Linked DNA regions of Nothobranchius furzeri. The protein of the gene in region 1 binds, or shares a complex with, the protein of each later gene. Links are inferred from orthologs where the notes say so. Each region holds a gene or a part of one and is shown in the gene's direction. Other genes may lie near its edges. The genes, in order: cnot11, cnot6a and cnot6l.

Region 1 (4,132 bases):
TGCACATCGAGGGGGGACGACGTATAAAACTTCCCCGGTTCTGTTCAATCTTTGGAAGCTTGTGCATGACAAGTGTTGCACTGAGCCAAACTGTCTTTTTTGGACTTTAACAAAAACTACTGCCAGATGGCCGACATTGCTCCTTGCTAGCAAACACTTTTCTGATCACGTGGACTTTGCACGCTGGATCTGGACGCTGCTGGATAGAATTGCTGTAATGGAATTTAAAGCAGAACAGACTGCTTATATTGGAGATTTTTGATGCAGTCCGATATAATCTGATACGGTTTTTTTGGGCCGATATCCGATACCAATATCGGAAGGGGACATCCCTAGTTACAAGAACATAGCTACCCATCTGAGTGTGGTTTATAGGAAATAATCACAGCCTCCCTTCATTTCACTACCAGAATGATATAAAAATCACCTGCAACATTAATAAAAATTATTATTTTAGCCAACAGCTTGGAGCTTCATATTTTCTTTGGATTTAACTTCCTACGTTTGTTTTACTCATTTCCTCAAATGCATCGATTTTAATAACTATAATGTAAAAAGCATCATAGCTGTGCTTTTAAAACAAAGCCACAACTCTTTTGACTGAAGGACTTGCCTCCTCCTGCTGGTTCTGGGTCGCAGCTCTCCTTTTCTTGAAGGAAGCAGAAATGAAGCTCCCTGCTCAGTTCCACCACCGGCTGGTCAGGAAGGAAGTCCAAACAGTCCAGAGCTGCACAGAGCCACTTGTCATCCCAAAGAACGACAAATAAACACAAACATTTACAAGAAAATCTCATTAATCTGTAAAGTAAAGCAGCTGGGATCCATGCCGCCGCCACAGGTTCCAGTTCTCAAACCCACTGGGAGCTCCTGAAGGCCTGGAGGATCTGTCTGTCCAGGTGGTTGCTGCTGTAGATCAGGTCTGGGTTTCCATGAGCCACCAGGCTGGCTGTAGAAGGAGGAGGAGGAGGAGGTCTGGCTGCACTGGAGCACTCCTTCCAGCAGGGAGAGCTCTATAATGTTTAACAGCCGGAGAAGAGTCTGCTCGGTCAGACGAAGGAACACGTGGAAACTCCATTACCCACAGTGCACCTCGAGGTAAAGGTCACAAGAAATTTAAACGGGTAGTGCGGCACATTAAGAACCTACTTTTACAGCCATAACAGGCACTTATATTGCTTTTGGAGTTTATTTTGTCGCTAATTGCTTGTTCGTTAAGATTGTTTTGTTGTTAAATAGTCAATTATTGTTGAAAATAAGTCAGACCAAAAGCTGAGTCCTGGAAAACGCTAAGCTAAGCTAAGTGGAGGCTAACACAACTCCAGGATGCTAATATCGTTGACTTTCTGATTCACTTCACAACCATGGATTAGCACGTCTTGTCCCGGTATTTTTCCAACAATAACTAGTTTTAAAAACGGAGCAGAACTTCCCCGCAGCTGAACAGAACCGGAGGAGACGATGAGCCTAGCTCCGAAGGAACTGTCCAACCTGCTGAGCATCATCTCGGAGGAGGCCTGCTCCAACTCCTTCGAGACTCTTTCCACTCACTTCCATCATTACTTTGGCAAAGCAGAGCACTTCCGGGTGGGCTCGGTGCTAGTCATGCTTCTCCAGCAGCCGGACCTGCTGCCCAGCTCCCCGCAGCGGCTCACCGCCCTCTACCTGCTGTGGGAGATGTACCGGACGGAGCCCCTGGCCGCCAACCCGTTCGCTGCTGTCTTTGCCCACGTCCTGAACCCGGCTCCGGCAGGAGAGGAGCAGGAGAAGGCGCTGTCCGGTAGGACTAAATAATCCGGCATTAATGAAATCCATTCATTGCCATTGTATACTGGTAACACAAATATAAACACATCAAAGTCCATGATGGAGTCCCATACGTCTATGAGAGGAATGGCAGGAAATACAAGTTGCTAATACTGCTCCTGCACATTTACTGAAAATCTACGTATCTAAGGAGATGAATTCAGCCCCACCTGTTACCTGTGGTGATTTTGTGTTCAGGCTTCCTGCCGCCTATCACCCAGCCAGAGAAGTTCTTCCTGTCCCAGCTGATGTTGGCACCACCCAGAGACCTCTTCAAGAAAACACCCAGACAGGTGTCCTGCATGGACATCACCAACATGCCCCAGCCCATCGACATCAGTGGGCTGCAGCTCGCATTAGCAGGTCGGGGTGTGTGTGTGTGTGTGCCTGTCCTCTGCATCAGAGCTCTTGCCCCAGTGAGTAGACAGCTGCTCAGGGGAGAAAGCAGTGTGTGCATATGTGTGTGTGTGGCATAAGATTATGAGGACACACACAGAAAATTAATAAACTAATGTGGTTCAGAGTCTCCAAAAGCAACACAGCTCGTGCCCGCCTTTGTTTACCTTATTATGGAGGACACCGCGGACTTTCCCGCGCGTATTAATCACCGCCCACAGGCTCGGGGATTTCTGCGTTCCTGAGAAGTCGCTCGGATTTATACGTGAACACTACACCGCCCGTTCGAGACCAGACTCGCTCCATCCAGACCCACCTAACGGGTTGCCTACCCCCGGTTCAGGCTGAGGTTTAACTTATTTAAGCCTACTTAATACCAACTTGATATAAATATTTTGCAAATACTGACTAAGAGTTATACGGTGCACTTATAATCTAAAATAAATCGAAACATATGGTAAAAATATGGCCTGTATTTGATATAGTGCCTTCTAGAGTCCTGGGAGTCCAAGGCGCTTTACAACGCCATCAGTCATTCACCCATTCACACACTGGTGGGGATGAGCTACGACGTAGCCACAGCTGCCCTGGGGCGCACTGACAGAGGCGAGGCTGCCGAGCACTGGTGCCACGGTGCCTCCGACCACCACCAGCAGGCAAGGGGGGTTAAGTGTCTTGCCCAAGGACACAACGACAGCAACAAACTGAGCGGGGCTCGAACCTGCAACCTTCCAGTTATGGGGCAAGCACTTAACTCCTGTGCCACCGTCGCCCACATATGTTGCATAATGGTTATTTAGTCCCCTCCAGCGGTGCTGTGGGAGAGTGTACGGCAGCGGCGCGTCACTCAGAGATGATTTATTTTTTATCAGCCTGAGAAACTTATCTCTAAACTAATCAGTGACAGGTCCCATCAGTTAATGTAATAATTGTCCCAGGCATTTTGGGCATCCCTCTCCCTGCTTTCACAGTGATCGTGTGCTGCAGCACACACACACACACCATAGACATAAACATAGATGACACCTGGACAGTTTGCAGCACATGAACAGGATACAAACAAATGAAGTAGAAGAATTCAACACCAACAGCTGCAGGTGTTAATAATACAGTGTAAAACAATCACATATATGAGCTGTTTTGTTGGTAGAGTCTGTTGTTGTTTTTAGCACTTAGGTAGTTAAAGAATGAGTTGCAATGTAGTTTGTTCCAGTGGTGTTGCTGTGGTGTGATGTCATCAACAGGCGCAGGTCCCTGAGCGGATCTGATACCTACACCAGCATCAGAAAAGGAATTGCAAACAAGCAACTGTGGGCCAGAGCCGCTGAAATAAAACCAGGAGCTGGATGCGTTTCGAGTTGAGGCGCTGATCGAGCACAAAACACGTATAAAACATGTTACATGGAAGTAGAGCGGGTTGTCCAGTAATCAGAGGGTTGTCCCGGCTCACCGCCCGGGTAGCTGTAGCTACACTGTAGCTCATCACCATCAGTGTGTGAACGTGTGTGTGAATGACGCACTGTAGTGTAAAGCGCTTTGGAGTCCTCTGACTCATGGCACTAAATAAGTGTGGGTCATTTATCATCATTGTCCTGGTTCATCATGTCCGCTCTTTAAGCACCTCACCATTACGTCGTGTATAGTTCTGCTCCAAACAAGGAGCTAATGTTTAACACGTCATTTGTAAGTCAGGTGAGAACATTGGTTGATGGTGAGCGTGTTTACGTACGTTATTACACGCTCGTACCAGGATGGTCGTGTCGCTCTCACCTTCAGCCCCTGACCCGTTTCCATGTCTGCTCCTTGGTCTAACAGAGCGCCAGTCGGAGCTTCCCACTCAGAGTAAAGCCAGCTTCCCCAGCATCCTGAATGACCCAGACCCAGACTCCTCCAACTCAGGGTTCGACAGCTCCGTAGCCAATCAGATCATAGA
Region 2 (3,653 bases), on another chromosome or scaffold:
AGGCGCACACAGGGAGGTATCTGCTGAGCAAATGACCATTTGAGGCCGTTTGCTCTCGTGTGCAGCAGACTTTATTCGGTGAGTTTGTGAGGTTGCCAAGTCTGCAGTGAGCTAACCCAGCATCCCAGGCATTTGTAATTCAACACAGTGCTCCAGAGTTGTTAAAAGAACTGAATAAAGCCAGTAAACAAGTGCGACCCCTAAGAAGCTACTGCATCCTTTAGTTGTACTCTAAAGCCCTTTTCAGACAGACATTCTGGAACATTTGCGGACAATTCAATCCGGTTTTTAACCGGAACTGTGTTTTCAGACACACCACTTTTGTACCGGAACTTGTCCTTTCGGCTGCGTTCACACAGCAGGGAAAAGTTCCAGATGTCTGACGGCGGCGGGGGGTGGTGGTGGTGGGGGGGTGATCGGACTCATGTTAAGAAGAAGAAGAAGAAGAAGAAGAAAATATCATTTCTACAGCGCCTCTCAAGATAAAAATCACGAGGCGCTTAAGCATAATTCTGCGCACACGAAGACGCATAAGAGACCTGGATGATGAAGCTCAATGGTTAAAGGAATCACTGAAGCGGTGTGAAGCGCTCCCTCGCGCGTCTAGACGGTACCGTAGGAGGCGAGCTGCCGTTGATCGCCGCATGCTACAGCAGCGGGCTATCTAGGTGCGCACAGCGTCCCCCGGTCCCCTCCTCCTCCCCCTCCCTCTTGTCCGGAACTTTACCTCACCAGTCTGAATCAGCCACCCTGTCCGTAACAAGTCCGGACCTGTTACTAGGGGCTTCGTCCGGATAAATTCCGGAACACATTATCCGGATGTTTGTATTCAGACAGAAAGGTCTTACGGACAGATTCCGGAACATTTCCGTTTTTCATGGCCTGTCTGAAGGGGGCTTAATGTTGAGTAAAGCAGGCTAGAGTTTATTATTGAGCTAACAATGCTAACGATGAATAAGGAGCAAATAGTCAGCTCAAAAATATCTCAAGCTACTTTTTCAATTACCAATAACTTGATGTTACAGTGAAATGTATGTGTGAAGTGAGTAATTGAGTTTTTCTTCCTTTAATGAGTTGCTCAGAACTTTTAACGGCAGGCTAACAGCAAGAATGCACACAACCACACTTCCTGTAATAACTGAAACAAACTACCATAATAAGTGTAGTAAGTGCTCCCTGCCATAAAACACCCAGGAATGCTAACACCAGATATGACAATGTATTCATCAACTTATCCACTTTCTGTGTATGACTCGTCTTCGCTCGTCATCTAGAATCTTCTGGTGCTCGTCATTAAACGGCAACAGCCATGAAACTCACAGAACGGCAGTGAGAACGTGATGTTTTTGCCAAAAAAATGAACCCCAGTACCCACATTTGTCCGCTAGATGTCATTCTTACAGATTGCACCTTTAAACATTCCTTCAGCCCCTCTTAAATGATTCTTCCAGACGCAGATAGAAAAGATGTCGGTGTGTAACTCCTTAAATTTGAAATATTTCCCCCAAAAATGATAACCTCCTTCTCCTACTACAAATATTTTGAAACTACAAATATTTTTTGATAATATATAGTATTTTGGTTTAAATATATATTGTACTGTTTGTAGTTTTAACCGTTTTCATTCTAAAACCAGCGACGTAGTGTGATCTCTGTAACTCTCGTGGTAAATGAGGACGCTGCACCGATGGGGTTTCATGATGAGTCGAAGTCTTTTTCCTGTGTTTTGGTTAACTCACTGCTACTGATGGGTGGAACTAGTAATTTCACCAAATAAAACCCATCTGATTATGATTTAATAACTAAAGCAAGACAACGCCTTAGAAGGGAGTGTTTAAGGTTGCTGTCAGCTTCAGAAACACGTGAACGAGTGAAATTTTTCCTGTCTGTGTTCCTTAGCTCTCTTCTCGGTCATGTGCTATAACGTGCTGTGTGATAAATACGCCACGAGGCAGCTCTATGGCTACTGCCCGACCTGGGCTCTAAACTGGGAGTACAGGAAGAAGTCCATCATGCAGGAAATCCTCGGCTGCAACGCAGACATCATCAGTTTGCAGGTAAGATAATATCCAAGAATTCATTAAGACTTTGTAACTAGGATTACAAGATGTTCATAATGTGATTTTTAGTCAAATAAATGTTTTATGGACAGTGTGTTGGCAAAACTGTGGCTTGTTTTGCAGCTGCTTGTATTGTAGAACGATTGATCAAAGTGTAATCATGTTCAGTTTGATCAGGGATCAAAGGTCAATATTGTTTTATTTGTGCTTTTTCTTTTTTTTTGGGGGGGGGGGGGGGGGGTCCATCAGTTTCATTACGTTGCCAAGAATCAGGATTGGTTCTTTTGTTTTGGTAAAAGCACTTTGGGTTTCGGATTTTTGACTGGTGAGGAGGGGGTTTCCTGGGGGGATTAGATGTTTTACACCATTTTTGTGTTTCAGTTCCTGTCTGGCCTAGGGTTGTCACGGTAACCGGTGTAGCGGTAAACCCCTGTAAAAAAAGTTGACAATAATGATAACCGTCTTGTTTTAAAAAAAACTATATTATCTCGGTGGATTACCGTGGCTGCGGTGTAGGCGCGGTGACCCTTACCAGCCACCGTATCATCTGCTGAAGTTGCCCGTGGGACATGCGCACTTTGTTGTTTACAACCAAAACTTTCTTGAAGCTAAAGCTGAAATAATGGCCAAAGGAGGAGACGGCAGCACTCAGGACATTTATTATCCCTCAAAGAAGACAAAGTCGGAAGTATGGGCATCTTTTGGATATTTGAAGAATGCTGAGAGACAGTTGATAGAAGACGGCTATCCGGCAGCAACACTTCAAATCTCATGACACATCTGCGTGACCATCACCCACAACGCTACAGTCAACGAAAGGCAAGCTAACGTTAGCGTTTTAGCTAAAATGTGTGATCCGAGGATTTGGGTTGAGGGAGAATGAAACGAGTCGCTATATAAAGCAGCCGCACCGCCGCTACCTGCATATAAACCGTGTCGCGGACACCGCCATATTGAAATGATGCTATGCATTACGGGGCTCCCAGGGGCAGATAAGAGTTGGTCTCTCTCCGAGAATAATTATGAATTTAACAACGATTACTGCCTGATGACATTTTCCCAAATCTGCAAAGCTCACTGGAAGGACACAAACCGAGGACAATATTTTCCTGATCTAGGGTTTATTACTCAAGTAAGGGTAAAAAGTATCTGATTAGAAGGCTACTTGAGTACTGAGTATCATCTGATCTAATATTTTTAAAATGATGACATCAAAAAGACATAAAATAAGAAGTTATGGGCAAATATTGGTATTTTCAAGACTAAAGGGGAAAAATGTAAACAAATAAACAACATAATTACAAAATAACACATTTTAGGCTAAATTTAGACACAAACTGAGGACAATATTTCCTGACATACAGGGTTTTATTTAATTGTGTGAAAATGTAGCACGTTTAAAAAAAAATACCGCAATAATACCGAAAACCGTGGTAATTTTGGTCACAATAACCGTGAGGTTAAATTTTCACACCGTGACAACCCTAGTCTGGCCTGGTATGAACTGCTGAGTTTGAAGCCTTCTCAAAGAATAGTGTGTAAAAAATAGAGTCGATGCACAAACAGCGTGTCCCTATGTTTCTGTGATGCTTA
Region 3 (4,220 bases), on another chromosome or scaffold:
CCCGCCCCCACTGTGGAGACCATGGACAGCTCCTTTACAGGCATCCCAGATGTAGAACTGAACGCTACCGTAGGTCATTCATCCCCTCAGCAGCAAGTGTAGGATTCCCCAGTTTAACTGGTACTGGCATTATCCTGGTACACAACACCACCAATGCAATACTCAGTGTGTGTGTTCAATACCAGATGTACGCAGTACGTTCGTGTCTCTTACTGTACGCTGCATAGTTCTGGAAACACATGTTTCCTTTATTTGTTGTTTTTAGTGGTTGGAGGTTACAATAATAGCAGTGGCTCCCCAAAAGGGTGGCCAGGGCCACACCGGAGGAGTAGGGTTACAGGTAACAACTGGTTTGACCATTAACCCCGGTTAACCCACCGTAAACACGTGTCCAACACCACTAAAGGTGTAAAAAGCAGCGCGAGCCGCACGGACAGAGGGGGGTTCAACCATCAGGACTCCTGTGTTTCAGACAGACACGGGAGCCTAGGTGGGATATTTGCCAAAATGATGGTAGTTACATGTGACTGACGGACAGGTGGGTAAACACAGGAGAAGACGCTAGAAAAGTTAGACTTTTTCACCTTCCTGAAAACGATGTGAGCTAAAGTTAATTAGCATAACAGAGGGGCTCCAGTTTGCAACCACACGTTGATGGAAAACATGTTTCCGTAACCTCTGTGAGCGTTTAGGCTCAGGACACACTAACCGGAAACAGATAGCAGGGCAGCTAAAACGCTAATCTACAGAAAATAACCCAACCGGAAACAAAAAAATAACATTCATGAATTTACCGTTTTTCCTGGATGAGAAACTAATTTCACTGACCTTTCCAAGCTGCCCGCGAGCAGGTTGCCATGTCTGCTTCTGGTGGTCCGTTGTCCGTGTAAAAACAGCAGTTCGCTCAATGGTTCCGCACAAACACACATATTTATTTTTAAAAGGTCGGCTCTAACTTAACCAGTTTACATTACAGGAAACCGTTTAAAAACGTTTCTAAAATCTCATCTAATGTTAAAGATTCACTGATTTAAATGATCGAGTTCAGTATTTGTTTTAAGGTGTGATTAGAAGTAAATGTTGATGTTAAAATCGTGTAAAGTGGCAAAATGAATGAATTGCAAGCATAAGATAAACAAATAAAAATAATGCCGAATCTCTGGTTTTTGCATCGGGTTTTTGTCAAATAAAGTGACGTCAGCTACACGTCACAGATGACGAGTTTAACCAGCTAGCACGTGTCCTTCACATGTTTAGTATCAAACTTTAGCGTAATATGTGTCACTTATTAACAATTAATAAATGAGCATATTTGTAAAGTTTCGTTTGGGATTTATGCTAAGAAGCTAGTAGGCGCGTGCACGACCGCGCTCTGGACTGTCGGTAACGAGCGGAAGCCGCGTTTGTTGTTCTTCCTTCTGTTTCCGAGACGTTCAGGGTTGAACCCGCGCCTGCATGTCGCTGCCAGTTCCCTTCTACAGCCCCCGGATGAAGGTAAACACGTTTTGTATCTAGAGCCGGTTCGCCCGGGCGGCTCGGCGCTAAACCAGCTTAGAGCCCGACTCGGTCCTTGTCCGGTCGTGTCCCCCACCCTAAGCCCCTGGAGCCCGGGGAGCATGCGCCCAGCCGCCGCTGGCTGACTTACTCCAGCCCCGTGCTTCGGGAGCGCTGGTCGGTTACCGTGACCGGTCTTTGCTGCATAGGTAAATGTGTCGCTGACATCCGTGGAAGGTGTCGAATCGGAGCGCGTGTTTACCTTGGTGTCAGGTGTGCCAGCAGCTGGTGAGCGGGCCTGTCCTCTTGTCACTTTTGACACCACAGCTATGTTTGGACACTCGTCCCTCAGCTGCCTGAGCAGTTGTCACTGCTGCATACTTTCCAACACACACACACACACACACACACACACACACACACACACACACACACACACACACACACACACACACACACACACACACACACACACACGGCCCTCTTTCAGCTCCTGAGGCAACATGACCTGTTGGAGTTGTGATGGTGTCTGCAGACACTTGTGACCTGCTGCGCCTGAACCCACCTCACCCAAAGGCCCTGAACGTATTTGCTGTAACTCACCATTCTGAAGTAATCAGGCTGTAGATCCACAGGAACGTTTAAAGATGAGGTTCTACGACGATCATCCTACAAGTGCAGGAAGTCCTCTGGATGACTTTTCTTTATGTGGATAACTTCTGATTAAAACTGTAATCACTGATCAAATGTTCTGCTGGTTTGTTCTGGTTTCAGTGGTTTTGTTGCTCCTCAGCAGGTGAAACCTCCTGAGAAAAATGAGCAGTTTGCTTCCGTCATCATTAACTAAAAAACGCCTCGAGCTTTTTTTTAAACCTTTGAGTTTCTTATAAATTGTTCTTCTCTTGTTTTCCACATTTTTTTAGTGCTTGAAATAAAAGTTGGTGTTTTCTTTTACGATTGCCACGATAACTCGTGCTCCTGGTTTGTCCTGCAGATTAACAGGAATGCCAAAGGAGAAATATGACCCCCTAGATCCCCGCAGATGTTACACCATCATGTCAGCTGAGGAGGCGGCTGGTGGGAAGAAGTCTCACTGGGCTGAGCTGGAGATCTCTGGTCAGTCTGCATTTACTTCCAGTAAAACACACTCTGGACGTTATATCCAGAGAAAGTCTTGTCCATGTTTTCAGTGTCGGGGTCAGTTTGGCCCACTGTGTTCAGAAATGTTAGTAAAATGAAGCTCCGCCACCTACACAGGAAGGGTGCGGAGCCTGAGCAGCTCGTTATGGACCCTCACCCACCTGACGGCGCTCCACATCAACGACAACAACCTGACTCGTATCCCACCGGACATCGCCAAGCTGCCCAACCTGGTCTACCTGAACCTGTCATCCAATAAGCTCCGAAGTCTGCCCGCCGAACTGGGCAACATGGTTACTCTCAGGTGGGTGGAGTTCTGACCCCTGACCTTTAACTCAGCTGCAGTGTGGGTGGGGTCGTCCGTCGTGTCCGACAGTTTCAACCGAACTGATGCTAAAGCGGTCATTTAAAACCCTGAATCAGGTGATTAAACCAGTCAGACATGAACACAGGTCAAGGGTGAGAAAGGTGAGACCCTCCCACGTGTGCGTACACACACACACACACACACACACACACACGCACGCACACACACATACGCACACACACACCTGTCTGTAAGGACGGACGTGGGGGGTGCTGCAGTGTGTGTGTGTGTGTGTGTGTCTGTGCATACATACACATAGACACACACACATGCACACACACACACACACATGCACACACACACACACATGCACAGACATACATACACACACATACGCACACATGCACATGCACACACACACATGCACAGACACACATACACACACATACGCACGCACTCACACACACATGCACAGACATACATACACACACATACGCACACATGCACATGCACACATGCACAGACACACACACACACACACACCTGTCTGTAAGGACGGACGTGGGGAGTGCTGCAGTGTGTGTCTGTGTGTGTGTCTGTGTGTCTCTGCATACATACACATAGACACACACACATGCACACACACACACATGCACAGACATACATACACACACATACGCACACATGCACATACACACACACACATGCACAGACACACATACACACACATAGACACACATACGCACGCACGCACTCACACACACATGCACAGACACACATACACACACACACACGCACGCAAACACACACATACACACACACATGCACGCGCGTGCACACACACATGCACGCACACACCCTCCCCAGCCAGCTGAGGTGGCTCGGGCGCCTGGTCAGGACGCCTCCTGGTGAGGTTTTTCGGGCATGTGTATCTAGCGGTGGGATTTGATCAGTTTTTATCAATAACAACAACCTTGTCGATTCTGTCCATCGATCCAGTTCCTTATCAATTCCAGAGAAGTTCAGTAGGTGGGCAAGTGGCTCGGGAGAGGGCAGTGTGGGCCTCCCGACTCGGGCTGCTGCCCCGCGACCCGACTCCGTATGAGCGGATGAAAATGGTTTTAAATGAACAAGTTAAAAATGATGAATAACACGTCATAAACAGATGTTTGAAGTCTGGACTCAAGTTCTGCAAGAACTTCTAAATCAGCAAAACGACATTATAATTCATGTCCTGCGTGACCCTGAACACGAGCGTTAGACGTGAAGGATGCCACCA

What was found.
Region 2: cnot11 (region 1) and cnot6a share a complex: the UniProt entries of both Homo sapiens proteins name them as parts of the CCR4-NOT complex. The link is inferred for Nothobranchius furzeri from reciprocal best matches to the Homo sapiens genes CNOT11 and CNOT6.
Region 3: cnot11 (region 1) and cnot6l share a complex: the UniProt entries of both Homo sapiens proteins name them as parts of the CCR4-NOT complex. The link is inferred for Nothobranchius furzeri from reciprocal best matches to the Homo sapiens genes CNOT11 and CNOT6L.

What each region holds. Positions count from the first base shown.
Region 1 is NC_091754.1:35,255,154-35,259,285, forward strand, and holds the start of cnot11 (CCR4-NOT transcription complex subunit 11), read left to right. Parts: upstream 1-1,267; 5' UTR 1,268-1,458; coding exon 1,459-1,777; intron 1,778-2,001; coding exon 2,002-2,166; intron 2,167-4,014; coding exon 4,015-4,132. UniProt on the Homo sapiens protein: Component of the CCR4-NOT complex which is one of the major cellular mRNA deadenylases and is linked to various cellular processes including bulk mRNA degradation, miRNA-mediated repression, translational repression during translational initiation and general transcription regulation.
Region 2 is NC_091741.1:95,565,309-95,568,961, reverse strand, and holds part of cnot6a (CCR4-NOT transcription complex subunit 6a), read left to right. Parts: intron 1-1,899; coding exon 1,900-2,057; intron 2,058-3,653. UniProt on the Homo sapiens protein: Poly(A) nuclease with 3'-5' RNase activity.
Region 3 is NC_091750.1:40,065,602-40,069,821, forward strand, and holds the start of cnot6l (CCR4-NOT transcription complex subunit 6-like), read left to right. Parts: upstream 1-1,364; 5' UTR 1,365-1,494; intron 1,495-2,488; 5' UTR 2,489-2,498; coding exon 2,499-2,610; intron 2,611-2,751; coding exon 2,752-2,938; intron 2,939-4,220. Other genes in the region: mrpl1 (large ribosomal subunit protein uL1m), read right to left, coding at 829-859. UniProt on the Homo sapiens protein: Has 3'-5' poly(A) exoribonuclease activity for synthetic poly(A) RNA substrate.